Xenopus tropicalis: one gene and its partners. The protein of the gene in region 5 interacts with the protein of the main gene of each other region in a pairwise test. Links are inferred from orthologs where the notes say so. Each region holds a gene or a part of one and is shown on either strand. Other genes may lie near its edges.

What was found.
Region 1: the proteins of lzts2 (region 5) and poldip3 interact in a two-hybrid assay, tested with the Homo sapiens proteins (2 studies listed by BioGRID). The two-hybrid records come from large-scale screens. The link is inferred for Xenopus tropicalis from reciprocal best matches to the Homo sapiens genes LZTS2 and POLDIP3.
Region 2: the proteins of lzts2 (region 5) and atpaf2 interact in binary tests that used the Homo sapiens proteins (3 or more experiments, as listed by UniProt). The two-hybrid records come from large-scale screens. The link is inferred for Xenopus tropicalis from reciprocal best matches to the Homo sapiens genes LZTS2 and ATPAF2.
Region 3: the proteins of lzts2 (region 5) and mab21l3 interact in binary tests that used the Homo sapiens proteins (3 or more experiments, as listed by UniProt). The two-hybrid records come from large-scale screens. The link is inferred for Xenopus tropicalis from reciprocal best matches to the Homo sapiens genes LZTS2 and MAB21L3.
Region 4: the proteins of lzts2 (region 5) and nek6 interact in binary tests that used the Homo sapiens proteins (3 or more experiments, as listed by UniProt). The two-hybrid records come from large-scale screens. The link is inferred for Xenopus tropicalis from reciprocal best matches to the Homo sapiens genes LZTS2 and NEK6.
Region 6: the proteins of lzts2 (region 5) and hoxb9 interact in binary tests that used the Homo sapiens proteins (3 or more experiments, as listed by UniProt). The two-hybrid records come from large-scale screens. The link is inferred for Xenopus tropicalis from reciprocal best matches to the Homo sapiens genes LZTS2 and HOXB9.
Region 7: the proteins of lzts2 (region 5) and rin1 interact in binary tests that used the Homo sapiens proteins (3 or more experiments, as listed by UniProt). The two-hybrid records come from large-scale screens. The link is inferred for Xenopus tropicalis from reciprocal best matches to the Homo sapiens genes LZTS2 and RIN1.

Annotation. Positions count from the first base shown.
Region 1 is NC_030680.2:115,098,187-115,102,413, reverse strand, and holds the end of poldip3 (polymerase delta-interacting protein 3), read left to right. Parts: intron 1-1,287; coding exon 1,288-1,354; intron 1,355-2,143; coding exon 2,144-2,330; 3' UTR 2,331-3,727; downstream 3,728-4,227. UniProt on the Homo sapiens protein: Is involved in regulation of translation. Is preferentially associated with CBC-bound spliced mRNA-protein complexes during the pioneer round of mRNA translation. Contributes to enhanced translational efficiency of spliced over nonspliced mRNAs.
Region 2 is NC_030685.2:15,293,304-15,297,361, forward strand, and holds the start of atpaf2 (ATP synthase mitochondrial F1 complex assembly factor 2 precursor), read left to right. Parts: upstream 1-1,258; 5' UTR 1,259-1,442; coding exon 1,443-1,539; intron 1,540-2,608; coding exon 2,609-2,653; intron 2,654-3,622; coding exon 3,623-3,768; intron 3,769-3,841; coding exon 3,842-3,939; intron 3,940-4,058. Other genes in the region: gid4 (glucose-induced degradation protein 4 homolog), read right to left, coding at 757-933. UniProt on the Homo sapiens protein: Plays a role in the assembly of the F1 component of the mitochondrial ATP synthase (ATPase).
Region 3 is NC_030678.2:1,122,862-1,126,972, reverse strand, and holds the start of mab21l3 (protein mab-21-like 3), read left to right. Parts: upstream 1-1,311; 5' UTR 1,312-1,486; intron 1,487-2,386; 5' UTR 2,387-2,425; coding exon 2,426-2,473; intron 2,474-4,111.
Region 4 is NC_030684.2:29,167,123-29,170,622, reverse strand, and holds part of nek6 (serine/threonine-protein kinase Nek6), read left to right. Parts: intron 1-372; coding exon 373-486; intron 487-3,500. UniProt on the Homo sapiens protein: Protein kinase which plays an important role in mitotic cell cycle progression. Required for chromosome segregation at metaphase-anaphase transition, robust mitotic spindle formation and cytokinesis.
Region 5 is NC_030683.2:29,793,038-29,796,537, forward strand, and holds part of lzts2 (leucine zipper putative tumor suppressor 2 homolog), read left to right. Parts: intron 1-2,307; coding exon 2,308-3,012; 3' UTR 3,013-3,500. UniProt on the Homo sapiens protein: Negative regulator of katanin-mediated microtubule severing and release from the centrosome. Required for central spindle formation and the completion of cytokinesis.
Region 6 is NC_030686.2:12,098,380-12,102,557, reverse strand, and holds the start of hoxb9 (homeobox protein Hox-B9), read left to right. Parts: upstream 1-1,378; 5' UTR 1,379-1,488; coding exon 1,489-1,996; intron 1,997-4,178. UniProt on the Homo sapiens protein: Sequence-specific transcription factor which is part of a developmental regulatory system that provides cells with specific positional identities on the anterior-posterior axis.
Region 7 is NC_030680.2:38,263,206-38,267,396, forward strand, and holds the start of rin1 (ras and Rab interactor 1), read left to right. Parts: upstream 1-1,391; 5' UTR 1,392-1,768; coding exon 1,769-1,910; intron 1,911-4,191. UniProt on the Homo sapiens protein: Ras effector protein, which may serve as an inhibitory modulator of neuronal plasticity in aversive memory formation. Can affect Ras signaling at different levels. First, by competing with RAF1 protein for binding to activated Ras.

The DNA of each region.
Region 1 (4,227 bases), on a different chromosome or scaffold from region 5:
TAAAATAATGTATACTGAAAACATAACCTATTAGATATATTTTGTGTGTTAGTTCTGAAAGCTTATATCTAAATAAGATGTGAGTTAATTAGTGAGAAAGTGACTGCACTTAATTACGTACCTGCGTTAATTAGCTTCAATGTTCTCCCAGCCTAGCCCATATTTGTTAAGATGCCCTGTCCTGCTCCTGAGAGAGCGACCTTTTGTATGGTATATAACTTAATCCACACCTTTATATGCTTATGGATTGTGAGGAAATAATCCACAGACGCAAGAAAATAACCTGGTTATTACTCCAGTTTCTCTATATCCGATTGGCCATTTGAAATGGGTTAATATTGTGCACATTATAGGACGGTTGTTTTGTATACGTAGATATTGGTTGCTAATTAAATGTAATAGTAAATGCATTAATAAGGGATATTTTTTATGCATTTAAATGCTAAATTTGCTAAGTTATTAATAAAATGTAGTGAACACAGGTGTTATGTATTCATAAGGAGTGGTTGCTAAGTTATTGTAACAGTTCATGCATTAATACATGATATTTATTCATAAGTTTAATTTTTAAAGTTGCTAAGGTATTAATATATGGTGAAAACTAGTGAAATTGAGCCCTTGGTTGGCATATCTTATTCTTCACTTCTTTTTTTTTATATACACTATTTATTCTTTTATGTATTTATTAACAAATTAATTCGGTTATTAGTATATGGGCTATAGCTGCATCGAGCAACCGGTATTTTTAATAGGAACTTGGAGATTCTTATTTCCAAATAAAGAATGCTTATTTATGGTTTTACATTTATACTGATATTTTTTGTATATGCTAAAACAGGGCACTCTCTCATTACTAGTTGATTTTATTGTACATACACAGAGATAATGTAGAGATTGTAGCAGCCCTAGGTTTTATAAGTATTTAAAATTAATAAGTAATACTATTAGAAATTGATCAGCTATATAAGGTAACTATTATAAAGGTCAAGATTTACAGACTGAACACTTATTTATTTCTGCCTGCACCCATATTGCCTGCCTTAATAGACAATAACACTTTTTACAGAATTGCCGGGACAGTGTGCTTCAGAAGTGCACAAACCTACCAGCTTCTGTAAAAAGGTATATTAGCTGAGTGTAGTTGGAAGAAGGCTTTAAGGAGCATAGTTAATTTTCATTTTCCCCCACCCAGCTACCTTTTCATGACACACTGCTGTAATATTTTTCTGGTAAGAGCACTGAGCTTTCTTTTTTTTCCCTGAGCTAATAAATGTCTTTTCATTTTAGGGCAACCCATGAAGTGTAATCTTCATCTGAATGGCAGTGTCATAACATCAGACCAACCTATCTTACTGTAAGTATAATTTCACCGAGAGGGTGATTTATCAGTAATCTTGTTTGCCTTTAATGCTAATCTGATGCACGGTATTGGTGATAATTGTCCCCTCCATAAGGTATAGTGATCCAAATTATGGGAACACCAACATTGCTCTAGACCTTTTACCTTGGTATGCATTATAAGTAGGGATGCACTGAATCACGGCTTTTTTTTAAGGATTCCGTTTCGGCGGAATCTGCGGTCCTTGCCGAACTGAATCCTATATGCTAATTACAATTTGGTAAGGGTTAAATGGGCAGTGAAAAAAAAATCCTCCGATCCCTCAGCATATGCTAATTAGGATTCGGCCAAATCCTTCTGGGTGGGTTCAGCCCCCCAGAAGTTACAAGTAGTCCTTACCAAAGGTTTGTACCTTCAAGGGGTGTCTGAACTGAAAAAGTCCAACAACCACATCTCCAGGCGAATCTGCCTGCAATAATGTGCCCAAAGGTTGCTCTACAGCAGTGATCGCCTACCAGTGGCACCCCCTTTGATGTAATTCCTAGTGACCCTACTTTAATGTAGTTCCTAGTGACTCTACTTTGATGTAGTTCCTAGTGGCTTCAGTTAAAGTTTAAGAATTGTTCCAGGGTCTGTACAAATGTTACTACAAGGCACTCTCACTAGCAAATATACAGAGTATTTACAGAGTTATTAAAAGAATTCAGAGTGAGCTTTCAGGAATGTGAAACAAATATATCCTCAGGGTTCTATGAATGGCGCCGGTCTATTTCATTATTTTTCTTAATGCCATTTTTCCCTTAGGCGACTCAGCGACACACCATCTGCAACAAAAAAAGAAGGGGAGACTCGAAGATCAAACACATTATCTTCATCCAGTGCATCCAACCCACCTGCTGAAGTGGACCCTGACACCATCCTCAAAGCCTTGTTTAAATCTTCGGGCTCTTCGGCAGTTGTTCAGCCAACTGCGTTTAAGATCAAACTCTGATGCGGCCAGTATGAACTAAAGTGGAGGAGTTCTGGAGTGAATCACAAAGATGACTCTCAGAGTGACCAATGTTATGATTCACCTAGAGAGACTAGACTTTTGTTTCAGAGAAAATTTGTTAGAACCGCTCATCAGTGGATTAGTTCTTGTTGGCCAAGAGTGAGGGATAATTGGACTTTTGGCTGTATAACTGAACACCCTACCCTTTGCGACTGTAGCATTACAGTTTCACTTTTCTTTATGTTAAGATGTTCCTGCAGCGCACATGCTGGTTCCTCTCCCAGGATCAAGTACATGTACATACAGTTTCCTGCCATGCTGTTTAATGTTCTGTTTCCAATATCATTGTTTATACTTACTTTTTTTGTGTTTTATTTTTTTGCTCTGGAATAAATAACGGTCATTAAATGTGCAGCCCCCAAAAACACTAGTCATCTTTGATGACTAAAAGAATCCTGCACCTTAACAGATGCTCACATTATTGATTAATTTGTAGGGATGCACCAAATCCACTATTTTGGGATTTGGCTGAATGCTGTACTGAATCCGAATTCTAATTTGCATGTGCAAACTAAGGCAGGGAAGCTTAAAAAAAAAAACTGGGCGTGCAGTATGCGGAAAAAAACCTTCCAATTTCCGCATTTATTTGGTGAAAAGACGCATCATTTTAAGGATTCTGTCCAGCCAGGACAATGGATTCAGCCGAATCCTGCTGAAAAAGCCTGAATCCCAAAGCAAATTCTGGATTCGGTGCATCCCTATTGATTTGCCACTGTTCATTTTCTGACGTGACATCCAGATGAGTAGAAAAAGAATGTCCTTGAATTTGACATCCATGTTCTTTAGATACATTAGGTTAATTATTAGTCATAATTGGATGTGGAATCTCTGAAATATTATCCAGCTGAAAAGTTTTGAACCTATTTACACGTGGTTATAATAGCAATATTTGGTGAATATAAAATCAGTACAGACTTCCAAATCAACATTAATGTAAACTAACAGGCTTTATTTTTCATAGTAAACCATAGATTTGTTTTAGATATATCTGGCTACTGGCATTTTTGTTCCACTGCCTTGCTATTCAGGGTTGGATTATAATGGCATAGCCAGTGCAGTTGCTTAAAAACAGTTTCACATGCATGCAGCTTAAGTGCAGCACGCAGCTATTGTAAAAAAAAAAAAAAAAGAAATACCATTTTCATTATGTAAAAACTGCAATGAAATGTCTTTTGGGTGCAAATTTAATCAGACCGTCTTTACCCACATTTACTTTCAAGGACATTGAGAAATTGGCTCTCTGTCAGTGACTTTCTTTACTGGTTAATTGTTAACGTTGTATTTCATACTAAGGCAGTACTCAAAATTTTCATGGCAATAAAAGGCTTTGATTAATATTAGGAGAATTAAATAATTGTTAAAAAAAGGTAACATTAGCCATCATCATAATTCGCAGTTGGATAGGCCTGCCCCAGCCGCCCGTTATTGTTTCATTTATTTATTTTATAACATTCAGCCCTCTCTCTGCATCTAATTGTTTTGTGACGGGGCCCTGAATGTCAAGTTCTGTGGGGAGCCCTAAGAGGCCCTAACAGTCTCTTTCTAGGTTTGTTTTCTCAGTTTCTATATGCAAATCAAAGAAAAAGTTATGTTCACTGCAACACAACAAAGTGAAAATCCAATTATTAGATTTCCTTTATGTAAATATATAGATATTGAGCTGTGTAGGCCTCTAAATGTCAATTTTAATAGGTTGTTCACCTATAAATTAACTTTGATGTTTGAAATTCCAGCAGCTATTGGGTTGCTAGAGTTCAGTTAACCATAGCAACCAGGCAGTGGTATGAATGCGAGACTGGAAGATGAATAGAAAGGTGATACAAATTAACATAAAAAA
Region 2 (4,058 bases), on a different chromosome or scaffold from region 5:
ACTATTACTGGCGCTCACTGTACAAGGGGGAGACTATTGCTGGCGCTCACTGTACAAGGGGGAGACTATTGTTGGCGCTCACTGTACAAGGGGGAGACTATTGTTGGCGCTCACTGTACAAGGGGGAGACTATTGTTGGCGCTCACTGTACAAGGGGGAGACTATTGTTGGCGCTCACTGTACAAGGGGGAGACTATTGTTGGCGCTCACTGTACAAGGGGGAGACTATTGTTGGCGCTCACTGTACAAGGGGGAGACTATTGTTGGCGCTCACTGTACAAGGGGGAGACTATTGTTGGCGCTCACTGTACAAGGGGGAGACTATTGTTGGCGCTCACTTACCCAGCAGCCCTGGCTTCTCTGCTCTCAGTCCCAACATGATTCACAGCAGAACCCTATGACTCTCCTACCCCCTCCCTCCCTCCCTGCCATAACTCACCCCCCTACCTCCCAAGCCAGGGCCCCAGTGCCTACATGTCCTGCTCCGGCCACCCTTCCCTGGCTAGGGGTCCCTCCCATAACCCTTCCTACCCCACTCCCATTGCCCCTCTATTCCCATCATTCTACCCTATCCCTGCTCCTCTCTTGCCCCTTCACCTGCTCTCCCCCAATAAACCTCTTGTTAAACAACCCCCCCCCCCCCCCAGCCCCTCTACCCAGGATTCCCTGCCGCACATCCCCCCCCTGTGCCCACACACACACACACACACACACACACACACTAGCCAGGCTGCAGTCGGCCCCGCCGGGCCTCACCTGAAGCACAACTTCCACATCGTACGAGTTGCCTTTGCTCTTCTGGTGGCCCCGGAACTTGGAGCCGCTGTAGAGGAGGGTGGTGGCCACGCCGGGCTGCTGGGTGTTGATGGGAGGAGGAGGAATAAGAGAGGAGTATCCGGAGGCCGCGCTGTTGGCCTCGGTACGGACCGGCATATCCAGGGCCGAGCCCCTCTCCCGCTGAGGCGGCTCCACACTAGGGCTCGGCCACTTCTCCACTCCCGGCCCGAGCACCTGGGCCTCTCCAGCACCGCGCAGTCCGATTGGCTGAACGAAAGGCCGCCCACCGCGCAGCACCGCCCCCAATTGGCTAAAGCGGTGACTCGGCGCCGCCGGGAAATGTAGTCTAGCTAAAACTGACCAATGGAGACCAAGAAGGGCTCGGATTGGCTGCTTGCCGGACGTGACGACAAAGAACAAGTCAGGGTCACCAAGATGGCTGCGCCCGGGTGAGCAGGCTTTCTGTACATAGGGGCTGGGACTGGCAGCGTGTTCTCTCTGGGTGTAATGAGCGCTGAGCCTTGTGGGAAGCCTTGGGGAGAGACCATTTCACAGCGGCAGAGGGGTGGTCGCTAATAAATATCTACTGATAATCCTTTGCCCCTCGGCAGGTGCTGATGGGAGAGAGTCCTGAGCAGAACCACTGACCCCTCCCTTACTATACCATGCTGCCCAGTCTGCTAGCGATCACTGCCCGGAGGCTGCGTGTATTCCCGGCGGCACTTTGCGCTCAGACGCGTCTCTATGCAGCCGCTGCTACCGGTAAGTGGCACCAGGGAGTGGAAAGGGAGAAAAGGGGATTTGCCAGTGCATTATACTCCTGTAAATATAAAAGCAATATGTCATTAAGGGATATATATATATCATGCTGTGTAAAAAGTGGAGTAAAACATCACCGGTGATGTTGTTTATAGCAGCCAATCAGATGCTTTGGTTTTCTAACTGTTGAAATGTAATTGCTGATTGGTTCCCCAGGGCAACATCACTGGTAATGTTTCACTCCACTTTTTACACAGCATGATAAATATACCCCTAAATATTCCATTTTCTGCTCATTTAAACCCTACTAGTCCCGCCCATGGGTTCCACTTCCAGCCCTACAGGGAACAGTAGCAGATCTAGTATAAACGGAGAGCTGTGATTGGCTGCCTGCCTCCTACTGAGCTTTTGGCAGAGACCATTAGGGCATGGCATTATGGGGGCCCATCAGACACATGGCGACACAAGGATGAGAACTGATTGAATGGGAAAGTGTCTTGGTGGGGGGTAGAAATCCTGCTGAAGAAAGGGGGCATTTTTAAAGCTAACAATAATCCCCCCCCCCCCATTTTTTTAAATTCCACCTCTCCAGTCTATACCATTCCTTTAGCTCTAATGTTACCTATTCCCCCAATTCAGTGTAGCTCCTTCCAAATGTCCTTCTCCAGAGCCCCCACTTATGCTGGACTTTTGTGCCTTCTCTCTTACTGCCCCCTCCGTGTTACTGCCCCCTCCGTGTTACTGCCCCCTCCGTGTTACTGCCCCCTCCGTGTTACTGCCCCCTCCGTGTTACTGCCCCCTCCGTGTTACTGCCCCCTCCGTGTTACTGCCCCCTCCGTGTTACTGCCCCCTCCGTGTTACTGCCCCCTCCGTGTTACTGCCCCCTTGGCCAGCTGCCACATCCGCACCCATTCTCTGCCCTTTAGCAGTGCAGTTGCCCTGAGGGGAAATGTATTACTGCTTGGATAGTGTGGGTATGAACCCAGTAGAATTCTGCATTTGGTACTGAGGCATCAGTCCAATGTCTTACTCTATTATTTATTGATTCAATTATTTTTTTTTTATGTTGCAGAAAGAAAGAAGTTCTATGAAAATGTCAGTATTTCCCATGGAGAAGGTAGGTTTCACACAGTCCTTTCCAGAGCTGCGCGTGTGGCTTTATCTGTATCTTTAAAGCACCCTGTGCGGGTGCTTGTACCCTCCTACAACTGACGCAGATGGCGACACATTCGGCAAACCTTATCCCAGGCTGGTGTTTATTTCACAGTTTTTTAAGTTACCTAAAACATAGCACTATAGCAACCACCATACAGGCCCGGACTGGCAATCTGTGGGTTCCGGCAAATGCCAGAGGGGCTGCTGTGAGATGCCATAGACCAGCGTTTTTCAACCACTGTTCCGCGGCACACTAGTGTGCCGCGAGATGTTGCCTGGTGTGCCGTAGGCAGGGCACCAATGTACTAGGGGGGCACTGCTCTTGGCACCAATGTACTAGGGGGGCACTGCTCTTGGCACCAATGTACTAGGGGGGCACTGCTGCTGGGCACCAATGTACTAGGGGGGCACTGCTGCTGGGCACCAATGTACTAGGGGGGCACTGCTGCTGGGCACCAATGTACTAGGGGGGCACTGCTGCTGGGCACAGAGTTAAATTTTTTAACATTTTCTAATGGTGGTGTGCCTCGTGATTTTTTTCATGAAACAAGTGTGCCTTTGCCCAAAAAAGGTTGAAAAACACTGCCATAGACAGTCACTATTTATTGGGCTGATGGGGGGCCTCTGTGTACTGGAAATACTAGTACCAGTCCAGACCTGCCTCCATACACCAGCATTGGTATAAGCAATATTGGTCAGAAGCAGTGACCCGGTGGCTGCACTTTCCTTCCTGCTTCCCATGCAGCCAGCCATTGGGCCCAATGAACAGATAAGTGCAGTTTGGCCACCCCTGTGTCTAAATAGAAGGGCATTTTGCCCTTGGGTCCGGCCGCATATAAGATGCCTATTCTGACCCCTTTCTTTTTGTAAATAGAAGGTTGAAATCTATAACCTTTAGCTTGTAAATGCAGCTACTGTCTCTTCCCTCCAGGGGGGTTTGAAATTAACCTGGATCGACGGAAGCTCAGGACGCCACAGGGGAAAATATTTACCGCTCCGAGTGAGGCTTTGGCCGTAGCTGTAGCTACAGAGTGGGACTGCCAGCGAGATGTGATCAAGTTCTACACCATGCACCTGGTAAGGATGCCCTTAAACCCCCACCTCTGCCAGCTTGTATTCATCCGCTAACTGTATTGCCTTCTCCCTGCAGACCACACTGTGCAACACGGCCTTGGATAACCCCACGCTAAGAAACAAGGAGCAGCTTATTACGGCAGCTCTGAAGTTTTTGGAGACTGACACAGTCTGGTGAGTGCCATGTATCCAGTTACTTGATCCATAAGCCTCCATTAGGATTAGATTCAATATCCGCTACTTACCTTATCCCCTGGGCTCTTCTGTAGTGACTTAACAAAGAGCCAGCAAAT
Region 3 (4,111 bases), on a different chromosome or scaffold from region 5:
GCTGGGGCCCCCCTGTATGTGCCCGGCCAATGGGCCTCCTCTTCCCTGGTTGGGCCCTAATACCCACGGGGCCCCGGTACCGAGGGTCAGTAAGTACCAGTTGGGCCGGTCAGTACCGCGCTGCCGCACACACGCTGATGTACAGAAGCTCAGGCACAACAGGGTGGGGCAATAAAGCAAAAGCCCCGGGGGGGGGGGGGTAGTTGTGTCAGGTACAAACAGAAGCTGAGTGGAATCAATTAGACTCACCTGCTCCCAAACCCACGGGGGGGGGGGGGGGGGGTAAATAATAACCCCTATTGGTACTGAGGGTATTGGGGGCCCAGTGGGGCGCTGAGAAACACCTCAATACCCCGACTTATCCCCAACTTCTAGGGGCCCCTGTCTGTCTGTCTCTCTGTGTCTGTCCCTGTCTGTCTCTCTATGTCTGTCCCTGTCTGTCTGTCTCTCTGTGTCTGTCCCTGTCTGTCTCTCTATGTCTGTCCCTGTCTGTCTGTCTCTCTGTGTCTGTCCCTGTCTGTCTCTCTATGTCTGTCCCTGTCTCTCTGTGTCTGTCCCTGTCTGTCTCTCTATGTCTGTCCCTGTCTGTCTGTCTCTCTGTGTCTGTCCCTGTCTGTCTCTCTATGTCTGTCCCTGTCTGTCTGTCTCTCTGTGTCTGTCCCTGTCTGTCTCTCTATGTCTGTCCCTGTGAGACTGTCTCTCTGTGTCTGTCCCTGTCTGTCTCTCTATGTCTGTCCCTGTGAGACTGTCTCTCTGTGTCTGTCCCTGTCTGTCCCTGACAAGTCTGTCTCTCTGTGTCTGTCCCTGTGAGACTGTCTCTCTGTGTCTGTCCCTGTCTGTCTCTCTATGTCTGTCCCTGTGAGACTGTCTCTCTGTGTCTGTCCCTGTCTGTCTCTCTATGTCTGTCCCTGTGAGACTGTCTCTCTGTGTCTGTCCCTGTCTGTCCCTGACAAGTCTGTCTCTCTGTGTCTGTCCCTGTGAGACTGTCTCTCTGTGTCTGTCCCTGTCTGTCTCTCTATGTCTGTCCCTGTGAGACTGTCTCTCTGTGTCTGTCCCTGTGAGACTGTCTCTCTGTGTCTGTCCATGTCTGTCTCTCTATGTCTGTCCCTGACAAGTCTGTCTCTCTGTGTCTGTCCCTGTGAGACTGTCTCTGTGTCTGTCCCTGTGAGACTGTCCCTGTCAGACTGTCTCTGTGAGACTGTTGTTCTGTGTGTTTAGTGGAAACACAGCTCAATACAGCAGATTGATTGGCGGTTGGGGCAGGATTGGGTTGGGGGGGGGGCAGGATTGGGTTGGTTGGGGGGGGGGGGGGCCCTGCTGCCAATCAGCCGCTCAGACAATCCAATTGTTCTCTGTTTACAGTAAAGTTTGGAGCAGAGAATAAATCAGCTCTGGGGCAGAACCAGCGCCCGGACTCACCGGCTCCAGCGAGAGAGAGAGGGACCTCCTGCCCCACAGCACCCAGGGGCCCCGGGGCCACTCACAGGTCAGACACCGACTGGCACCTAGTGGGCACAGCAGCCTGAGTGGGAGGGCAGGCTGAGTGTGAGTGCAGGGAGGGCAGCCTGAGTGTGAGTGCAGAGGAGAGAGGGCAGGCTGAGTGAGTGCAGGCTGAGTGTGAGTGCAGGGAGGGCAGGCTGAGTGTGAGTGCAGGGAGGGCAGGCTGAGTGTGAGTAGAGAGGAAAGAGGGCAGGCTGAGTGTGAGTAGAGAGGAAAGAGGGCAGGCTGAGTGTGAGTGCAGGAAGGGCAGGGTGAGTGTGAGTAGAGAGGAAAGAGGGCAGGCTGAGTGTGAGTGCAGAGGAAAGAGGGCAGGCTGAGTGTGAGTAAAGAGGGCAGGCTGAGTGTGAGTAGAGAGGAAAGAGGGCAGGCTGAGTGTGAGTAGAGAGGAAAGAGGGCAGGCTGAGTGTGAGTAGAGAGGAAAGAGAGCAGGCTGAGTGTGAGTGTGAGTGGAGAGGAAAGAGGGCAGGCTGAGTGTGAGTAAAGAGGGCAGGCTGAGTGTGAGTAAAGAGGGCAGGCTGAGTGTGAGTAAAGAGGGCAGGCTGAGTGTGAGTAGAGAGGAAAGAGGGCAGGCTGAGTGTGAGTAAAGAGGGCAGGCTGAGTGTGAGTAGAGAGGAAAGAGGGCAGGCTGAGTGTGAGTGTGAGTGCAGACAGCACTAAGTGGCCCCCAGGCTGCAGGGCGGTATAAGGGGGACAAGCTAATAGAAGACTCATTACAGACAGGGCTGAGTCACATGACTGAATGGAAGCAGAGAGGCTCATGGGTACCAAGGGAAGTGAGTGATAACTTGGGGTGTCAGTGTTGTACGGGGGGGGGTTTATCCAATAGGGGGTGGGGGGTACCGCAGGGGTGTGGCTTATGGATTTATTGGGGCTGCTGTATTTGCAGACTGGGGACACAGTCACATTTGGGGGCTCACCGGGGAAGATGAAGGGAGTAACGGCTGAGGATGTGCATCACTTCCTGCTCCACACGGTAACACTTCCCCCCCATCTCTATCTGCCCCCTGTATCTGCCCCACATCAGCTTCACTGGCACCGCCCCCTGCTGGTCACTTGTCTCACAGCTTGTGGCCCTTCCTGCCCATTGGATCAGATATTGATTCCCTGAATACTGTGCCCCAATGGCGTGTAGCCTCAATGGGGCCCCTGGAATTACACCCAACTTGCCTGCAGGGCCCCCTAGTGGCCACACAGGGAGTGGCATCCAATTCATCAAAACAGGCTAAAGGGGGGGGCACTTACACCCCAAGTATGTGTGGGGGCCCCTCAGTGCACTTCTGTTACTAAATGGCCCTTTATGGCTCTCTTATTATTTAGGGCCCCAGTCGGGGCTTTATTGCCCGATCCTGCTGTATTGCCCCATACTTGCCAGCAGGGGGTGGTAGTTAGTAGGCAGAAAGCCTGGAGCAACCTTACTCCCCCCCTCCCATTACCATGGGAAACTGCCCCAGGAGCCAAGTTCTCAGCCCCATGCTGGGGGGGAGTGGGGGAGCATGGTACCCCAATATTGGAGACCCCCCATAACCCTTTAACCTTTCCCTCTGCTTAATGCACTGATTTGGGCCCAGAGCTGCAGGAAGGGGCAATAAATGGACAGAACTAGGGCTGAAAGGAGGGGGCAGGGGTAGTTCCTTATTTACCCCCCCTAAACCCAAGAGATAGATTAAAGGGAAAGTTCAGCTTAGATGAAGTTGCCTCTGGTTCCTTACTTGCCCCACTCTGCCTGCCTCCAACTGCGCCCCCTGCAGGAGCACCCCTAGTTCCCAGGCCCCATGCTGTGCTTAATAGCCCCCTGCTTGGTGCCCCCCTAACCCCGCTGCTTGCCCCGGCAGGAGCACCCCTAGTTCCCAGGCCCCATGCTGTGCTTAATAGCCCCCTGCTTGGTGCCCCCCTAACCCCGCTGCTTGCCCCGGCAGGAGCACCCCTAGTTCCCAGGCCCCATGCTGTGCTTAATAGCCCCCTGCTTGGTGCCCCCCTAACCCCGCCGCTTGCCCCTGGCAGGAGCACCCCTAGTTCCCAGGCCCCATGCTGTGCTTAATAGCCCCCAGCTTGGTGCCCCCCTAACCCCGCCGCTTGCCCCCGGCAGGAGCACCCCTAGTTCCCAGGCCCCATGCTGTGCTTAATAGCCCCCTGCTTGGTGCCCCCCTAACCCCGCTGCTTGCCCCGGCAGGAGCACCCCTAGTTCCTGGGCCCCATGCTGTGCTTAATAGCCCCCTGCTTGGTGCCCCCCTCACCCCGCTGCTTGCCCCGGCAGGAGCACCCCTAGTTCCTGGGCCCCATGCTGTGCTTAATAGCCCCATGCTTGGTGCCCCCCTAACCCCGCTGCTTGCCCCGGCAGGAGCACCCCTAGTTCCCAGGCCCCATGCTGTGCTTAATAGCCCCCTGCTTGGTGCCCCCCTAACCCCGCTGCTTGCCCCGGCAGGAGCACCCCTAGTTCCTGGGCCCCATGCTGTGCTTAATAGCCCCCTGCTTGGTGCCCAACTCACCCCGCTGCTTGCCCCGGCAGGAGCACCCCTAGTTCCTGGGCCCCATGCTGTGCTTAATAGCCCCCTGCTTGGTGCCCCCCTAACCCCGCTGCTTGCCCCGGCAGGAGCACCCCTAGTTCCTGGGC
Region 4 (3,500 bases), on a different chromosome or scaffold from region 5:
CAGGTCTAGTAACCCATGGCGACCAACAGATTTGTTGCCATAGGTTACTACACCAGGAGCAATCATACCTCCTTAGCCTTTGGCACAAAGTCTTTTCAGTCTGCTTTATTGGCTAGGAGCTCACAATCAACATTCGGGAAGCATTGGCTGTGGTTCATTTGGCAAGTGATCCACTGATGTCAATATCCTTGCCCAGTAAAACCACTTCATATTTGAACACCCCAGTTCTCTTGTAGGTTTGCTCATATGATATGCTCCTCTTGAATCCCAGACCATAGAGTGTTTGTGTTTGGTTCAAGGGGACAAGTCAGTATCCCTACCCATTATATTTAACTGATGCTAAGAACATTGATATATTTGCATTCTTTGCAGATGGCAGCTTTACAGAGTCCTTTCTATGGAGACAAAATGAGCTTGTTTTCCCTGTGTCAGAAGATTGAGCAGTGCGACTACCCCCCTCTGCCCAAAGAACACTACTCGGAGAAGGTAAGCGCTCAGTATATGTATGTATATCTTTATTTATAAAGCGCTACTTATGTACGCAGTGCTGTACAGTAGAATACATTAATACAAACAGGGGGTTATTAAGATAATAATAGATAAATACAAAGTATAACAATAAATACAAGGTACAGTTGCAATAAGTTGAGTCAAAAAGACACAATAAGGATGGAGGTCCCTGCCCCGTAGAACTTACAATCTAGATCTATATGGCTATATATATATATATATATATATATATATATATATATATATATATATATATATATATAGCAAACACTTATTTACTTTATACTTATTCCAGAATCTCTAGTAACCCTATTGATGCAGCATTTAGATTAGCAGCAGTGATTTGCGGCCCAGATGTGGAATGTCCCCATACAGCGGCTGCAGTATTCCGCGGGCCGGCACACAGACTCTGGGCATAATCCTGCCAATAGGAAGCTGCCGCTGCCGTTTGTGTATTTCACGCTCCTGTAGCACACGGCTCGGCGTTTGCCTGCTGGTGGGAGGAATTAGTGTAAGCTGACAGATGTGTTTCCTGTCGGTACAATTAGTGTCTGTCCACCTCCCTCTGGCAGTGCTAAAGAGCACATGTACGTACAGTGATACAATTCAGGGTGCGAAGGAGAGTTTAAGGCTCCAAAGCACCAGCTCGGGCAGAGCCAGGCGCCAGATGGTGTGCATACACTATTAGCCGAGTGCTAGAATGGGAGCGCGCGGGGCAAGCCCTTTGGCTCTGGTGTATCTGTCTGTACAGGCTGCTTCTGCCAGCTCAAATAGTACATTGTCTGTTCTTAGACACTGGCTGCAGAGTACCATCATCTCTGCTTTATACAAGGTGGAGCCTAATACAGATACTCAGTGTCGGACTGGGATGCCAGGGGCCCACCAGAAACCTTAGACTGTGGGCCCACTCTCCAAACTAATTTTCATCCACTCCTCACTCAACATTTATATTTTCCTAGTCTTTTATCTTTACATACAATAATCTATTTTTCTTTATTTTTAGTCTCTTTGTTCCCATAGAGAAATATTGAATGACCATAAATTAGACCAAATGGTAAGAGGCAAGAGGGCCTACTGACACCTGGGCCCACCAGGAGTTTCCCTGGTATCCCTGTGGGCCAGTCCAACACTGCATGAACTCCTTTCATTCAGCAGCAGGCCCAGACTGGCAATCTGTGGGTTCTGACAAATGCCAGAGGGGCTGCTGTAAGAAGCCACAGACAGTCACTGTTTATTGGGCTGCTGGGGGGCCTCTTTGGGCCTCTGTGTACTTGCAATACCAGGGCTTAATTTGAATCACAACCTGTTCAGGTAGGCAGTTGCTGGGGCACTATGCAGACCAAGTCAGCAGCGTATTAGCCTATCTATGGGCCCCTTATGATGGTCTACCTGACCAATTCTTTTTAAATATCTATTATACAGGTTAGAAAACAAATAAGGACAGTCTCTTTAGTGGCACAACGGTGGTTAAATCAAGCAAAATCCACTCGCTTGCTGAACTTGGCAGACAATCGGATCTTGCCATGAGTGCCCACCTTAACTGTTACATGAGACAGAAATAGACCATCCTCCAGGTTGTTCTTTTAAGCCAATTTGTGCTGCTTGTGCTTCATGGTAAGACTTGGTAAGGGGATAGGAAGTGTCCCAAATATAAAGCTGGCCATACAATACTGATAATATTGATACGTGTGGGTACCCGGCTCAAGGGCCCACCACCCAGTCACCGCCATTCCCCACATGCCCCCAGTAACCACTGTTCTTGCTCCACTGCACTATTTTGCTGATAAAAATGAAAGATGGGCGTGCATTCCACTGTGGAATGCACAGCCATCTTTAATTTTTACAGCAAATAAAGTAGTGGAGCAGGCAGTGGTATTGGCTAGGGGAAGCTAGCAGGGCACTGCAGTTTTTCCTGGTATATGAATAGGCCAGTTTGACCCTGTGTACCAGCCTGCCAGTCCCAATTGCCAGTAGCTGCCAGTGTGCCATATCTGCCAGTGTATGATGCATGGCCAGATGAGATGGGTATGAATGGGAACAATAGAAAGGTGGCTATGCAGCATTTGACACAGGAATGGCTGCTTTAAGGTACAAGCATGTATTTTTTAAAGATATTATTAATGTTAATTATGTTGTTAGACCCTCCATTACTGGCTTTGGTATTGGGGCCACTCCATCAACCCAGCATTTTCCCCCACATACAACACACCAGTAATTGCACGACAGTTAATAAACCAGCCAGTTGTGCGATTAGTTAGACACCATGTTCATAGCAACATTATCCCTATGCTGGCCCATGCAGGTTCCAGTAATGGCTTGGAGCCACTCAGCCCATCCAGCTCAGCCCTTAGCCCATCCAGCACAGACTAACAACTGCCTGCGTGGCCTTTGGCCAGCCAAGGTTTCTGTTTCTGTCAAAAGATGAATCAATATTGGAATCAATTATCAAGTTACTGGCAGTGTCAGCTCAGCAGCCAAGGCAGGTTTTGTAAGGGACTCGAGGGATACGGGGACACATTATGCGCCTATTCTTTCCCTTCCTCCCGCGCACCACAAATGCCTCGCCATTGATCATGTTTGCTTGTTGTGTTCTTCTTTTCTCCCTGCTGAATGTCCCCCTGGGAGTGCAGAGCTGAAGCTCGGTGTCTTACTGATCAGCTCGGTAATTCCCCCGGGCCTTGATCTTGTGTAACCCAATAAAGATCCAGACTAACATTGCTCTTTCACTCCTCGCTCACTGCACCGCTAATTCTGTTTCACGGGCGCTGATCGGCTTCATTATGTGTGATAAAATATTAAATGCTTCCCCTGTTTTAAACCAGTGTAGCAACTTGAAAATTGCTTTTCTAGCTGCAAAACAATCAATTCCCTATTATTGGGCTTCTATCTGCAGCCGAGCAATTAAATCATAAGGATTCCAGTGATTCTGGGGGGTTGGGGGAGAAGGATCAGAACAGCTTTTCCAGCGGCTTTTTGGGAAGTGTATTTTA
Region 5 (3,500 bases):
ATGTGGACTCTCTGTTCTGTATAACATAGTTCTCTCACGGGCCAGTTATTTTTAAAGGGAAACTACACTACTACAATGTTGCTTGCACCATCAGAGGAAAGTTCATCTGCAGCTTTTTTTGTAGTCATCAGGGCAGATGTTCCCAGGTATAGTGCTTTGCACACAAATCAACAAGGAATGACGCAATAGTCCTGCCACCACGTGCTGCCCGCTGAAAGTGCATCGGGCGATTCCCGAGGTGTTAAACCCGGTAGTCTCTCTTGCTGACCTTTGGGTGGAGCTGTCGGGCAGTAAAGCTTAAGTCTCATCAGAACTTAGCTACTCATCTGCTGTATCTGCTGCAGGTACAAAAGCTGGGCCCAGTTACCAAATTACCCAGCCATCTTTCATTTAATTGCAGTTAGAGGCATTCAACCTATGGCTAATAGTGATAAGGCGCCTAATGATTTGTTTAAGCATTTTCTTACTTGAGTTGTTAGTAAAGTTTATTCTGGGGAAAAGCTAAAACTACTTTCTTTCTGATGGTATTTTGGACATAATGTCACCCTAACCTACATCTGGAGAATCCTTATTGTCTGCATAGTCCCATCAGCAACATGTTCTATATATAGGTCAGGCTGCCTTATTTACAACTATATGTGTTTCCAAAGAGCAGAGATTTCCTTTAGCAGGAAATTCAGTAAACTAAATTTTATAGAATTGAATCTGTAGAACTCTTTTACTTATGCGTTTCCCACAAACCAATGCAATTACTGCCATTTCATTCTTTGTTTTATTGCAAAACCCCAAAGCTCTTTACTGGCACTTCCACTTGTTATGGCCTCTAAGGAGCGCAAATGCATGGACCTAAATAGCTGCTTGATAATCAGTCTTGTCATATAAAAGACACATCGATATCAAAGAAAATATCATGGGGAGGGAGAGCTGAATGGCATATTTCAAGGTTAAAAGAAGGCCTGTTTCACTGTGCACACGTCTATTTAAGGCTGTTTATCTTATTTATACATAAATACAATATGAATATGAGATCTAATTTAATATAAAATGAATGAGATCTAATATCCAGAAACCCATTATCCAGAAAGGACCTAAACAGTACTGCCATCTTCCAATGTTCCATGGAGCAGTTTAAGGGAAATATGCATATATATCCTAATGGTTCCATTTTTTCCTCTGTAATAGGAATGATGGTAACTAAGCTACCATAAAAATATATATTGGTGGCAAAGTAACTCTTTTGGTTTTTTACATTTTTATACTTCTAGATATGGTATCTATTAGCTGGAGTGCTCAGAACCTGGGGTTTCCGGATAAGGGGTTTTATTGAAATTTAGATCAACATACCTTGAGTCTTCTAAAACCATGAAATTAACCCAATAGGATTGTTTTGCCACCAATATGGACCCATGCAGCTTAGTTACCATGAAATGTGAATAAATGTTTACATTGGACTGTATGGGGGACGGCTTTTCTGTAATTCAGGGCTTTCTGGATATTGGGTTGGTTTCTGGATAAGAGATCTCATACCTGTAATGTATAAATATAAAGGACTCTGTCCTATCATTCACCTTAATGTATTTCTGTGAACATATAGTGTCCATCATAATTAGCATTCAAGCGGTTTCTCTCCGTATTTATCCACTGCTTTTGGTCCCCTTAGGACTAGTCTGAACCACATTTTAGGAAATTATAGCCTAATTGATGTTTCTAGTGAATGGATTACCTTAAAAAAGCACCCAGTGCCAGAGGCATTAATACAGTAACATTCATTCACTGTAAGCACTGACACAGTAACACTAAAAAATACGTTTTTGTAATGAAAATATAATGTAGTTTTGCCCTGCACTCGTAACAGTGGTGTGTTTGAAACCCTACTATAGTTTATATGGAGAAAAGGAGATAACCAACAGGCTCTGTAGTATACACTTTAATTATACTACTGTTATCTGCTGTGTATCCTGTATCTGAATGGCTGCCCCCATTGCTTACACAGCAACTGTGTAGTAATAACACCCCTGTTATACATTATATTAGCATTCCTAGTGCAACCAACTGCTCAATCCAGGACCCACAGTTCTAGTCAGTTGTGTCTGGCATGAACACGTTTTAGGGAGACAGAGCTCAATAATAAAACAGCACCAGAGTATTAAAGTAGAACGTTGGACATTTGCAGCAGGTTCCGATACCGAGAGTAACCAATCAGATTGCTTTCACTGGTGATTAGAAGATGCTGCTTTGGTTGATAACAGGCTACTAAAACTTTTCCCAACTTTGCAGCTATTAACAGTTCCTATGTAATTCTCGTAGGTTTGCCAGAAATCTGGTGAAATATCATTGCTGAAGCAACAGTTGAAGGACTCCCAGGCTGAGCTGGCACAGAAATCTAATGAGATACTGCTGCTTCGGGCTCAGGTGCGAGAGGCTCGATCCGACCTCCAGATCAGTGAAGAGCAGGTACAGGAGCTGCAGGACACGGCGCACACCAAGACACTGGAGCTGGAGGTGTGCGAGAATGAACTCCAACGCAAAAAGAATGAGGCAGAGTTGTTGCGGGAGAAAGCCAGCAAGTTAGACCAGGAAGTAGCCGGCCTAAGGGAAGCAGCAGTAGCCAACCTGCGCCATGGACTATGCCTTTGCCATGAAAAGGAGGACCCTTTCTTATTATATGAAAGTGACGAGGCCAAAGCGCAGCGGCAGAACGCAGACAACCTGCAGGGCTTGCAGCAGTATGTGGAGCGTCTCAGGGAAGCCCTAACAAGCGAACGCAGGAGATATCAGGAGCAAGCTGACAGCTTTGAAGATGAGCGGCGAATATGGCAAGAGGAAAAAGAGAAGGTGATCCGTTATCAAAAACAGCTGCAGCATAACTATATCCAGATGTACCAGCAGAACCGCGAGCTGGAGAGGGACATTAAGCAGCTCTCCTTAGAACTGGAGGCAAGAGAACTGGACGAGTTTGACTTGCACGGGGCCGAAATCCAGTTTGAGGAAATCACAGCTACAGAAATCTGAAGCCAGTGAATATGCAGAGCTACCACAAATGCCTTTATACACGCCGACAACATTCCAGCCAATGGCTTTGCCAAAACACAGCTACTAAACACTCACACAAGCTCTTCTTCATTGTCACTCAGACTTACAGTGGATAAACCATACTCAGTGTTTTGACAGGGAACCATAGGTTTATGGACTGCACATTAACACTACATGCAACGAGATTTCTAATTGGCAGATCTTGAACACTCATACAAAGTATAGTATTAAGGAGCCATATGTATATATATATATATATACTGTATACCTGCTCACAAGTTATACTATATGGACCAAAGGAACTTGTGTCATTGAATAAGAAATGTATGATACTATGTACAGCACTTATGTATGTGTTTGCATAAAAACCTGCTCCCTTGTCATGGCGTGTAACAGAATTTGAGGTACTGTCATGGAGCACAAAGGTGCCATTATGTTAAGTCTGTTCAGTACTTTTCAGTATTCCT
Region 6 (4,178 bases), on a different chromosome or scaffold from region 5:
AATACAATATAAGCTTGTAATTATGGACAAAATGTTTGCCCCATGTTATGGTTGGTAAGCTGTTATATAAATGGAAAGTAACCATGGGGTCACAGAGTCACTTATCTTGGATAAAGCTGCACCATATAAAATGCCTGTGAGTTATAAATATTTGGTCACAATATGGGACAGTGTGTAGGCACCATCTTATATTTGTATCTTTGGCAGAGAGAAATGATATAGTGGGGTCACAGTGTCAGTAGCGCAGTACAGAATGGCAACACCTGGCAGTATATAAGCTGTAGGCATTTGGCATAATATGTGACTGTAAAAATATATTTATTGGATGAGAGGCAGGGCATAAGTAGTTATACAGAAAGCAAATGGGATCATAGTGTCAGTAGTGCAGTGTAGGATATAAATATGGCAAATTACTACTTATATATCTGATTATATTATGGGCCAGTCTGTAGGCCTCAGCCACCACTTTAAATCAGTGCTGCACAGGGTACAGGCAATTGTATAAAGTTAAAATAAACAAGCAGACATAGTGCTAGTAGTGCAGAACATACATATACATGCTGCAGGGCTGGGCACTGTACAATGGTCTGTAACTGGTGACAATTTGTGGTTACCATTTCATACTAGTGCAGAGAAATAAACCAGGGTCATAGGGACACTAGCACTTTGGCACAATGTGAGTAAATAGTGTTACTGGGTAGGGGAAGGGCAGTTAAATAAAATTAGTGTAAGGTATCAATCAGCAGTGCCTCCTAGGAAATGATTGGCACCATATACATTTTGCAATATCTGCCATTATATGGGGACATTGCCTGGGAAATACGGTGTATTCATATGAATAGAAACACAATTCCAGATACAGGGGGCATAAAATATCCACATCCAATATCCACCTAATTGGTGTCTGTTATTTTGCATATAGTCAGTGTAGGGAAAGGGGCCACTAACTATAAATATACTGTTTATAATCCGTACTGTACAAGCCAGACTGTACGCAGCCGCCATGCTATGGCAGCGAGAGGCACCGTTCTGCTAAATTGCGCACTGATTTGCGCACACGGCCAATTGCGCACAGCTGAATGAGAGACTGCTGCGCCCTCCCAAGCTGTTGCACCCAGACCCCCCTGTGCCAGATTGTCTTGTGGCTTCACTAAAAGGCACCAGAGCCTGCACAGAAATAGGTGTCACCCAAGTTTCAAATTGTTGGCTGAGGAGTGCGTTGTTGGTCGGATCTCAGGCGTGTCCCAGCCCTCATGCCCATAAAACAATGGCTCCCAGATATGAATGCTGACAGCTCCGTGCGGCCCCTCCGATTGATGAATAGCCCTCTGACGCTTTATCAGGCACACGGAGAAAGTTTGACCAATCATTTGCCAGGAGCTCACACGCCAGCAGCCCAAGTGCACCGAGTTGGCGAGCAAGTTGGGAGAGGGGAGAGCTCCTATATCTTGTTCCCTTCAATGAAGCTGCTGAGTAGGATGCCCGAGAATGGCCATTTCTGGGACTCTCAGTAATTATTTTGTGGAGTCAATAATAAGCCCTGAGAGTGAGGAGGCTCCAGCAGCCAAATTCTCTGGACAGTACCCCAGCCCCCGGCCAGCAGCCCATTCAGCTCACTCTGAGCCCTTGGACTTTCCCTCCTGTAGTTTCCAGCCCAAAGCTCCTGTATTCAGCGCGTCCTGGAGCCCTCTGAACCCCCACCCAGCCAGCCCCCTGCCTTCTGTCTACCACCCCTACATCCAGCAGGGCGCCCCCACTCCGGAGGGCAGGTACTTACGGGGCTGGCTGGAGCCGCTGCAAAGAGCAGAGAATGGACCTGGCCAAGGAACTGTGAAGTCTGAGCCGCTGCTGGGGCCCCCGGGGGAGCTGGACAAACTGGGAGCCCAACAGTACAATCTGGGCTCGCCTGCTGCAAGAGAAGATGCCAATGAAAGGGCCACTTTCCCGGACAATAAACTGTGTGAAGGAAGCGGGGACAAAGACAGGACACATCAAAGTAAGTTCTGCACCGAGGAAGTGGGAGACAAAAGCCTAAGGGGGCAATAAAAGGGCAATATACCGTCAGGAAGTGTATGTGCTCCTGGCCAGCAGGGCAAACACAGGGGAGAGCCCCCCAGGCACCGGCAATAGCCTGAAATCTTTCCACCTTGTAGTCACCCAGCCGCACAGGTAGTTAAACAAGCCACAGTATCCATCACAGTAGCCAGGAACATTTATATTTGTAATCAAATCCCTCCTCAATATTTATATCTCAAACAAAGTTCAGCCACAATATTTCCACCCTCAGCCACAATAACTTGGATCCAAATCAGCCATAATATTTGGAATTAGCCCCAAGATATACCCCCCAAGGCAACCCCTGTATTTACACCATATCCCCCCAATTAAACAGGCCACACGGTAAACTAACACTTTCCTTATATCGAATAAAACTCCCCCCAATTATATATATACATTTCAGCCAGAGCAGTGCGACTTTATTGCAATATTACTAGACTCAAATCAGCCCCAGTGTTTATACATTACCGACAAATCAGCCACAGGATTTATATTTTAAACCATAAGGCCCCATGTTATTGGCAGAGGTGAAATACTTATATTTATATCTACACGAAATATTCAGCTAGGAAAATCCTTGGCTAAATATTACAAATCCCCGACGATAATAACACGGATAACTTAGCAGCACAAGGAACCACAATCTGTAAAATATACAGGAGGGGGGAATATCCAGGCACAGTTAATATTTGTAGCAGAAACGTTCCCAGAATCTAAATTTTCTTACCAAATTACCCATAAGATCGGGGATTTACAACAAGCCTGCCCCAGCCATTATATTTCACAGCCTTACGAAAATATTATATTAATATCGCCGGCGATTTATATATTTAACCACTGGAAGAAGACGGGAAAAAAAGAGCTTCCAATATTTAATATACCGTATTAAAGGTACATAATTCATAATATATATGCCCTACAGCAAAGTATCTGGCAGGCAGCATAAAATAGTTTGTAAATGCAAAATGATCACCTCTTGTATTAGTGCAATTCCGCCGTGCGATCTGTTTGGACGATTGTACAGCCATTTATCTGGTCGGCACAGGTGAAAATGATTCATAAAGGCAACCGATCCCATTTGCAAAATCACCACTCTTACGAGGTGGATGTGTTTATGGCACCTAGTACCTTTTTATATTTCCCACTTAATATTAAGCAATTGCAGATGTAATGATCGGTTTAAAAGCATTTTACCTTGATAAATGAGGGTATTATGCATGGGAGTTAAACTGCACTTTAAAAACCATATTCCACTAAACTGGGCACGGATCCAGAACAAACTCCACAATAAAAGCCTTGGATGGAGAGAGTGGGATTTGCAGCTTGTGGATTTAATATCCGTGCAGGCTGACAAAACGCTGTGAAGAATTGCGCGTAAACGTTTACGCAACGGTCCAACCAAAGGAATTGGGGAGATCGCAGGCGATTTTAGCAAAGATTGTTGTGCTGAGGGTCAAAGGGAAAGGCCAGTGTACCCCCCAATGTGATATACTGCCTATTATTTCAGGGTGATTGATCAGAATCCAGCTTTAAAAAGTGCCTGTTTTATTTCCAGATAATAGTAATATGGAGCGGAATATCACTTCAGTAGTGAGAATTTTTTTTTATTATTATTATTTTATTATTATTATTAATACTAATAGGGATAAATAAATGATATTTTCTGGAATCCACCCCTCACACACTCATACACACAGGCAGCAATGCTGATCAGTAGTCGTGTTCGCTTTATTAAATATTAACTTTTTAATTCACTTTCATATTTCATTCCCATGCAAATGATTTAGAGACTGAGCAGAAAAAGAGACACCAGAGTTAACACAGGGGGGACTGAACCCTTACAATCCGCCAGGCAGGGCCAGACAGTCAGCCAGGAATATCATGTATATTTTATTACATTAATTTGTATGCGATCAGGGGCTGGAATCGTGTGTGTGGCTTGTAATTCCTACTCTACCATTTCCATCGGGGTTCAGGAACGGAGGCGATATTAAGGCTAATAATTATTGTCCTACTTGAAAAACTCTGCCTTTGTTAAGCTGCAATGGGACTGCTGTATGCACAGGACATAAAGCTTATTCCTATTAGCGGAGCTGAGCCATGCCATAAGCACATCCAGG
Region 7 (4,191 bases), on a different chromosome or scaffold from region 5:
TGCTTTTTTGCTCCATATTTTGGAGCTTTCTAGAGACCAAGTTTCTGGATAATAGATTCCAAAGGTAAGCATACAGCATGACTTAAGTGGCCATACACGTTAAGATCTTTCTCCCAGGGGGATATCAGGCTAATTTGATTGGTTGGCCCTATCAAATTACAATAACGGGTATAGGAGCCGTTGGTGCAAGGACTGCATTAATGAGCCAATGCGGTTCCCGATCTGATGGGAAAATCAAGCCTGCCCAATTGAATCCTGGCCAATTTTTCCCCAATTTTTCATGGTAGTCAAGGTTTTTAGATTTTTTGAACGCTCTATTTATTAAAAAACACCAAAAAATGTGTTTTTCGCATTTTTCTGTGTTTTTTGTTTGTGCTTTTTCAATTTGGATCTTTTAATAAATGACTAGACATTTGTAGTTTTAGTGGAAATTAGTTTATTTGTGTTTACAAAAAACTCAAAAGCCATAGATCTATCATCCATCTACCTGAAAAGCCCACAGTGCCAGCAGGGAGCATGGCACTAGCTGCAAAAGAAATGCTGTAAGGAGAAAGCAGGTCAGCACTCAGGTCTTATGAAGAACAAAATGGCACTTTATTTCAAGGAAACTAATGTTTTGGCTAGTGAGCTAGCTCCTTAAATAAAGTGCCATTTTGTTCTTCTTAAGACCTGTGAGTGCAGATATGTATATATGAGGATATGTTCCTCTATGGTTCATGAACATTATCAGAAAGTATAGTAGGTGATACCTTTTATTGGTTAATTTGGTAGGTAATAATAACATTGGTTATCATACCTGAAGCAGGGACCTAAGTTGTCCAGAAAGCTCACATTTCATAATCCACTAAATTAGCCAATACGAGGTATGACCTACTCTATATTTTCTGGTTTTGATTTATGGCTAACATGGTAGAACACTCTGCTACTATGGGTATAAACATTCTTTGAGCACAGCTGACAGTATTATCTATAAAGAACATAAGGTATTGCCCACAGCAGCAGTGCTGTCATCTCTGTGTGCAGCTGGCTGCCTGTTTTATGGAGTAGTTAAGAAGAATCCTCTTTATGATCCTGCTGGCTATATGTGATGTGCCCAGGCGTGCAGGCCAGGCGCACCTTCATTACGTCACTACAGGATTTGTTTAATCAGTAGTTATAGGAAAGGAATGTGATATCTCCAGGAGGCGAGAGCAGGTTGTGGGTGGTGAAAAAAGTACAGCCGTTAATTCCATAATTTATTTGGGTGCACTGGGGCAGGAAGTTTTAACACAGTATGAGATACCATGGAATAATACATGCTTTCCATGCTGGGATTCATATCCTTTCTCTGCGACTTACTAGGAGCTATATTTGCATTGCACAACATTTTAATCATAACATGTTAAATATCCATTTTGTCCTCTGACCCATTTACTGTAGAAATCCCTCCTTTATCTTCTCACTCCAGTCCTTTACAATCATTCCCGGATTTCACTCTTACTCATACTATGAAAATGCAGCTCCTTCCACTAAACTCATTCTTCTCCAATTCATTTCCTTTCCTTTTGTAGCTCAGAGTCTTTTTGCACTCTTTCTCTTTAAAATTTCTCCTTTGTCTCTCTCTTATGCACTCCCTCATTCTCTCTCTCCCTCACTCTCTTTCTTCCCCGCTAATGAAATGAATCTCTAAAGCTGCTTTGATTTAACAAGTCTCTGCAAAGCAGTCATGTGGGGAAGAAGAACAGTGAAAGAAAAACTGTAAGAGGGAGAAAAGGAGGGAGGAGAGTGCATGGAAATCATGAGTGAGCAAGGAGCCGCGTGTATACCTTGCAACACCCTAAGGGTTAGTCACCCTGGGAACACCCATGGGGGTGGGAAAAAGAGCAAGAAGGAGAATCTGGACTCACTGTCCCAGGCCGGAGCAAGGCAAGGTATGTACAACATAAAAGCTTAGACTTCTTTTGGATAAAAGAAAGCTTCTTTAGTTATTCTTAAGATTGTACATTCCTTTGAATGCCAGGTGATAAGCAGCAAATGCCCAGGAAAAGACACTTAAAGAAATACTTTTATAGTACTGAGGCTGTTTATATATTATATATATATATATATATACCAAGGATGAGTGAAAATAATTGCTGATAGGGAGCATAAAAATAGTTAATATACACTGGCATGTTTCACTTACGAAGTGGCAGATGTAAGTTGCAGGCTTCTGACATAAATAGTAGAAACAGATATACACTAAAAGCAATGTTGTCTGCAAAGCTTGCACTCTGTATAAATCTCATTTACACTACAGAACTTGCAGTATTGACATCATAAAGAGGGAAACTGAACCAGAGTTCCCAATTTTTAAGCTGTTTTATAAGTTTATATTCACTTCATTTTTAAATAAATATTTATTTACAATGAGATGTTTCTCTACATAACAGGGCTCATTTACTAATCACATGGGCACAATGTGTGGAATTTCAGTGCAATCTGCAATCTGCGCCTTGTACCAGACTAAAAGTCCTGGGCATGATGCAGAACGCTCCTGGTCCCTGATGGCTCTCCCTAGTTAGCCTGTCATTCAGATGCACAAGCTAAGCAATATCAAAGGAGATGCCCACCACTTGTCCCCTTATGAATTCAGTGCTGCTAAATTTAGGCAGCTTTGTACTCGGAGAAGTGAACACAGGATCTCAAGAGCTGTACCTTTGGGCACAATCCAAATTGGAAAGAACCAAAACATGGAACTTCCACATTTACATTTTGCATCTTGCCTTGTGTATAGGAAATGAGGACTAAGGACTCTATATGAGTCATTACAAATGCAGGTAAGGTGCTTTCAAGCTTGCTCCTTGCACTCGCATATAGTTGCATTAAGCGACATTAGGGCTCATTTTTGTTTGTGCAGTGGGCAACTTGTGCTTTTCTCTGCCATCAGTTAAACCTAAAACCACTTTTATTAAAGGTATTTGCATCAAGTAACTTCTCTATAGTTCCTTCAGTCCTTCCTGCCTTCCATTCAGAAACAGGCTGTGCTGCACTTGTTGATACAGGGGAACCCTGACCAGGGGGTAGCTCCAGGGTTCCCTCAGTCAGGGGCGCTGCTACCAGCAGCTATGGCAAGTGCCCCCATAGTTACCAGGGGCAGCAAAAAGTTGCTCCTAGTAACTTTAAGAGCCAAATTTCTATTTTTTTAAAACGGAAATTCGGCTCTTCTAGTGTAGAGAGCGCAATTGCACTCCCCCCCTGGACCCCCTTCAGTGCTGTAAAGCTAAGTGATGGGGGGCGGCATCGGAGGGGCCGCCTCAGGGGCCGAAAATGTCCCTGCCCTCAGCGCCCTGTATAAATAGGCGCAGCACACTTGCACCTAAAGTACTGGTCACTGGAAATGATGCCGGGCAGACTTAGAAAATATTTGCCACAACAACAACCGATTTGCAATGAAGTGCATGCATCTTATTGAATCGCTATAGCAACTGTGGTGGGCACAGCCCAATTGTGTCAAAAGAACAGCCAGTTTGTGCCTGCAATGATGCCAGAATTATGCCAAAAAAAAGCATTGTGGGAAAAACATGGTAATTGTACTTGATATTGCACTTTGTACACTGCATCTAAGTAAGTGAATGTGCTCTTTTGTGTCCACCCTGCCTCTCTTACTGAATTATGCACATTTGTAGTGGTAAATCTAGTGGGGTGCATTGGTTGGGGTAGAAGAATTGCTCCAAAAAATCACACAATAATTCTGTTTTAACCCCATGTCCCAGAAGTGCCAGAATCTCTGCTTTGAAAATGCTAGCATCTGATTTGCTAACATGCACATGTGCAGTTTTGATTAATTGGGTACAATTGTGCTAGAGCACTGCATTTAGAAATTACTCTGCTATCGGTCATTCAGAAACAGCACTCTCTATTGGGCAAATTATTAAGTACTACTAAGATACTGGAGAAAACAAAGCAATAAGGAAATACTTATGCTAGGTCTTAAAGTTATACTGACACCAGAAATTAACCTTTTTTATACATCTATCATAATATTGTCTTTGCATGCTATTTATAATTTTGCCTTAAAAGTATTTGCCTGATGTTTTTACATTACCTATCTGATGCCCCTCGTTCTTCTATGAGAGGGAGGCCATATTTGTGCAGCAGGGGTCCGTTAGCATTAGAAGTTGTAACTGACTGGATGAGAAGAGACAGTCAGGTTGGCAAAACAGTCAAGTT